2 linked regions of the Kluyveromyces lactis genome follow. The protein of the gene in region 1 purifies or fractionates together with the protein of each later gene. This does not show direct contact. Links are inferred from orthologs where the notes say so. Each region holds a gene or a part of one and is shown in the gene's direction. Other genes may lie near its edges.

The links. Proteins that work in one complex are often made in the same cells at the same time.
Region 2: the proteins of QCR7 (region 1) and CBP4 purify together in Saccharomyces cerevisiae (affinity purification with western blotting; 3 studies listed by BioGRID, with this or other methods). This does not show direct contact. The link is inferred for Kluyveromyces lactis from reciprocal best matches to the Saccharomyces cerevisiae genes QCR7 and CBP4.

The regions. Positions count from the first base shown.
Region 1 is NC_006039.1:60,566-62,994, reverse strand, and holds QCR7 (ubiquinol--cytochrome-c reductase subunit 7), read left to right. Parts: upstream 1-1,425; coding exon 1,426-1,809; downstream 1,810-2,429. Other genes in the region: KLLA0_C00847g (uncharacterized protein), read left to right, coding at 1-839; KLLA0_C00803g (uncharacterized protein), read right to left, coding at 2,415-2,429. UniProt on the Saccharomyces cerevisiae protein: Component of the ubiquinol-cytochrome c oxidoreductase, a multisubunit transmembrane complex that is part of the mitochondrial electron transport chain which drives oxidative phosphorylation.
Region 2 is NC_006042.1:1,404,466-1,407,040, forward strand, and holds CBP4 (Cbp4p), read left to right. Parts: upstream 1-1,574; coding exon 1,575-2,006; downstream 2,007-2,575. Other genes in the region: ERG1 (squalene monooxygenase), read left to right, coding at 1-995; APS3 (Aps3p), read right to left, coding at 2,333-2,575.

The DNA.
Region 1 (2,429 bases):
AGCCGGAAAGGTTACCTATTGCTATCGACGAAAACGGTGCCCCTATACCAAAGAAAGATCCGTTCGCAGAACCTGAACCTGAATTAACAATTCTCGATGATTGTGCCGGTGATTATAAGTTATTACTGAACAAATACCCAGTTGCCGCAAACCATTTGATACTAGTAACGAAAAAGTACTTGTTGCAGACAGCTCCTTTAAGTCCCAAAGATTTGTTAACTACTTATAAATTATTGCAAGAATTAGATGACGAAGATGAGATGTTGAGACATTTGGCCTTCTATAACTGTGGCCCAAACAGTGGTTCTTCTCAGGATCACAAGCATCTTCAAATCCTTCCATTACCTTATAAATTCGTTCCTTACCAGGATAAGTTATGTAGTGGTAAAGAACATTTCATTCCGAACGCTAAGACTGAACCTTTACAAGATGCAAAAATCCCATTTGCACACTACGCCGTTCCATTACCTGAGGATCCTGAAAAAGTGGATGAAGATCTACTAGCAATGACATTTGTATCATTGTTGCAGAGAACTTTATCTATGTTCCAGGATTGGGAGGGAAGTAACGCAGAAAAATCAAATGACGATGAGGCCAGTATTCCGGCATATAACGTGCTGATGACAAAAGAATGGCTATGTTTGGTGCCTAGATCGAAGGCATTTGCAGAAACTCCTAGTATTGGCTTCAATGCTACTGGATACGCGGGTTTAGTGTTGGTAAAGTGGGATGAGACTTTGAAAGTCCTCAATGAAAACCCATCGGCTGTGACCAAATTGCTATTAGAGTGTTCCTTCCCTAGCACTGCAGGCGCTAAACCAACAGAATATCACTATTGAATAAGCTTTAGTGTGAAAAATAAGTCTATGGGCTGCCCCCAGGTGGCTAACACACTTTCTTATGTTTATGATGTGAATTCATGGTTCACTGGTAAAATTGCTCGATGGTTGATTTCCAAAGCGGACTGGCTACTAAACAATCACGTATAGTAAATAATTGTGCAATGCAATACCATCAATAGATTTCGACTAGTTACGGGCTATCATGAAGGCAACTCACCAGTGAAGTTCCAGAACAGACGATGGGCGTCCGCACTTCGGTTCAGTAGTGATCACGTGATATTTGACCAATGAATTTCGATAATTTAAAATATATTATGTGGTGTACCTGTTTCTTAGTCAGTACTAACCAGTTCTTCGATTTTTTTGAGTTTTTCGGTTTTAACGCTTAATACATAATATTAGCTCGATAGAAACAATTTTTTGCAGATTATCAAAACTTTTCATTCAATACATTACCACTAAACATTGGTAACATTTTGTCAAAGTTCCATTTACTTTACGAAGCTTTCCGATTTGTTTCAGAGCTTCTGACTTATTCTTAGAAGGCCGAACGCTCAAGTAACAACCACGTTTCACATTACAAATGCCACAAACATTTACTTCTATTGCTAAGATCGGTGACTACATTTTAAGAACCCCAGCTCTTGCTAAAGTTGTCGTTCCAATCGCTCACCAGTTCATCAACTTGTCTGGTTACAGAAAGATGGGTTTGAGATTCGATGACTTGATTGAAGAAGAGAACGAGCTTGCCCAAACTGCTTTGAGAAGACTACCAGCCGATGAATCCTACGCTAGAATTTACAGAATCATCAATGCCCACCAACTATCTTTGTCCCACCATTTGTTGCCAAAAGATAAGTGGACCAAACCAGAAGATGACATTCCATACTTGACTCCTTATTTGTTGGAAGCTGAAGCCTTTGTTAAGGAAAAGGAAGAATTGGACAACTTGGAAGTTGCCAAATAATCTCATCCTTGACTGAATTATTCAAAATATCATTCAAAAAAATTACTCATGACCCTCTGACGAAGAGAAAGAAGAAGGAAACACATTACATTATGATCGCAAAAGATTTCAAATTCAATATATCCGTTACTTGCATAGCCAGCTAACGCAGACGCTATTATCGTTATCATATTTTCTTCTAGGAATGAAACAACTTATTTATCTCTAAACTTTGTGAATATCAACCTCTGACAAATATATCTTTATTATTCTAACTTATGTATATATATCTATATATACCAATCTGATTTACATCATTCATTTTTGATACTTTCATTTAAAATTGGTTTTACCAAAGTATTGGCATCGTTACTATTAATTATGTTCTGGTATTGATGGTATTATGTAATTTCTCATAGTAATTAAGCGTTTGGATATATTGATATTTGCTGGAAAAGAAAATATAATGATTGTGGTATAATGTTACATGTGAGGAAAAGGAATTGTCCTTTTGCAATACTACAATTTTGATTCCCACGAAGTGACCAGTTCTATAAAGTTTGGGTCATAACGCGTAATAACCGAATCGGCTATTTCATTTATTAAAACGACGAGACATTTGATCTTCAACGCTTAGATCT
Region 2 (2,575 bases), on another chromosome or scaffold:
ATGTGACCCGCCTCCAAGGTAATGTCATTGAGATCTTGAGAAGCAAAGAAAACGAAGTAGTTGGTGCTAAGGTCGAAATCCCAGGTCGTGGTAAAGAAGACTTCAAAGCACATTTGACTTTTGTATGTGATGGTATCTTTTCTCGCTTTAGAAAAGAGCTCTCCCCAGATCATATCCCCTCTGTTGGATCCTCTTTCGTCGGTATGTCTTTGTTCCATGCAAACATTCCATCGAAGAACCATGGTCATGTTATTCTAGGTACTTCACATATGCCCGTGCTCGTATATCAAATCTCCTCTGAAGAAACAAGAATTCTATGTGCATACAATTCAGCAAGACTACCTAAAGATATAAAGTCGTGGTTGACTACTGATGTTAAACCATACTTACCTAAATCTTTGTTGCCATCGTTTGATAAAGCGGTTGAAGATGGTAAATTCAGATCAATGCCAAACTCTTACCTACCAGCAAAGCAAAATACTGTCACCGGATTATGCGTCATCGGAGATGCCTTGAATATGAGACATCCTTTGACTGGTGGTGGGATGGCTGTTGGCTTGAACGACGTTGCTCTACTAATCAAGACTGTTGGTGATTTAGATTTCTCAGACAGAGAGACTGTCCTTGATGAATTACTAGAATACCATTTCGAAAGAAAGCAATATGACAGTGTCATCAATGTACTATCCATCGCTTTATACTCATTGTTTGCTGCAGACAACAGAAACTTACAAGTATTACAAAGAGGTTGTTTCAAATATTTCGAAAGAGGTGGAGACTGTATTAGATTGCCAGTAAGTTTCTTGGCTGGTGTTCTTCCAAAACCGTTCTTGTTGACCAAGGTGTTTTTCTCAGTGGCATTGTACTCCATATATGTTAACTTCCAAGAAAGAGGCATTTTGGGATCCCCTCTGGCATTATTAGAGGCATTTGCTATCCTATTTACAGCTGCAAAAGTGTTTACTCCTTACTTGTTCAAAGAATTGATAGGTTAATGTGGTTGCTGAAATCCATCCGCCAAAGAAATTCAAAGATAGAAATATAAACTAATGATAATAATAGACTTCTGAGAGTAAAAAAGTAGCTTCAGATTATTTGATCCTACATTCTCTCATAATGACTTTTTTTTGCCTTCGCTTTTATCTATACATGTGATGAACGCATCTGACAGAGATGTTGAGGATACTAACTTATTCAATTTTAATATATACATGTGTGTAGTAAGCAACTCCTGGGCCACACCACCTGTAGTTTTTTACCGTAATAATCTCGCTTGTTCTATCCGCCTACAGACTCCTTCATGGGCTGTACTAATCCATGTTCTCTCGACAAAGCTGTCCTACGTTGCGCTTCTTCAAACCACTAACGGTGATTATTTGTATATATATGTTAGTTGTTACCCGCACATATTAGCTTATGGCTAAAGCCTCTGGAAAAAGTAATTATAACGGAGCTAACCTTTAAAAGTAGACAGAGATGTGGAGCAACGCTGAGTTTACACTCTTGATGAGACAGTTAAGAGCCGTATCACACCAGTGAAGCGTTGCATTTATCACGTTTATTTATTTTTTAGCATGGAGTCTTCGGGTTTTTTACGCTGGGGTAAAGTTTTCGCTGCAGGAGGCAGTATTATATTAACTGGTGTGCTTTTATTCAAATATACAACACCAACCGATGAGCAACTCCTTCAAGCATTATCACCGGAGTTGAGGCTACAGTATGAGAGAGAGAGGAATCTACGTCAAGCTGAGCAGCAAGAACTAATGAAAGTTGTACAGCAAACCATGAAGAGTAAAGATCCTATTTGGAAAACAGGAACGGTCGATTCACCATGGGAAAGAAATGGAACTCAAGCCACTAAGGACCAGTTCCAAAGATTGAAGGCAGATCAAGTTCAGAAGGAAGAGTTGGAACGGATCAGACAGGAATTGGATAAGATTAGAATGGAGAGTCTGGACCAAACAGATATGATCGTTTCCAAAAAGAGCTGGTGGAGTCTGTGGTAAATGCTGGTATTCTACGTTTCGATATCGGATTTCTCTCGAAACCGAGTTTAGAGCTCAATTTGCATTATTTTTTCCTCAAACTTTATGGCGGAAACCAATCCATCCACGTTGATGAATCGGTTATCTGAAAGTTACTTTACTAACCGCCTGTAGATATTATTTATCGTTGTTTTCGAAATCAATGGAGTGTATATAATTTTTCCATGAGTTTCGACTTTATTTATTCATATGATATTATTATAATCCACTATTAACTATTATGCTGCAAGGCCTATCAACATTAATATGACATTGGCGTTAAGATAGCGGGGTTATTTTCTGATTTATCATTGATGTGACCCCCAAGCACTGAAATTTGAATAACTGAACGCCTGGAACGCCTCAGAGATTCGATTCCCTGCTAGTTTGGTGAAAGAATTTTCACTTTCATTAGCGTTATTCAATTCATCTACAGCACTTACGATTTTCCTTACATTGGTCTCTATCACCAATCCACCTTGGATAATCTCTTCAAGTACACTTTCCAATGTTTGCCAATTGAAGATTAAGTCTAGCTCATTCACTTCTTC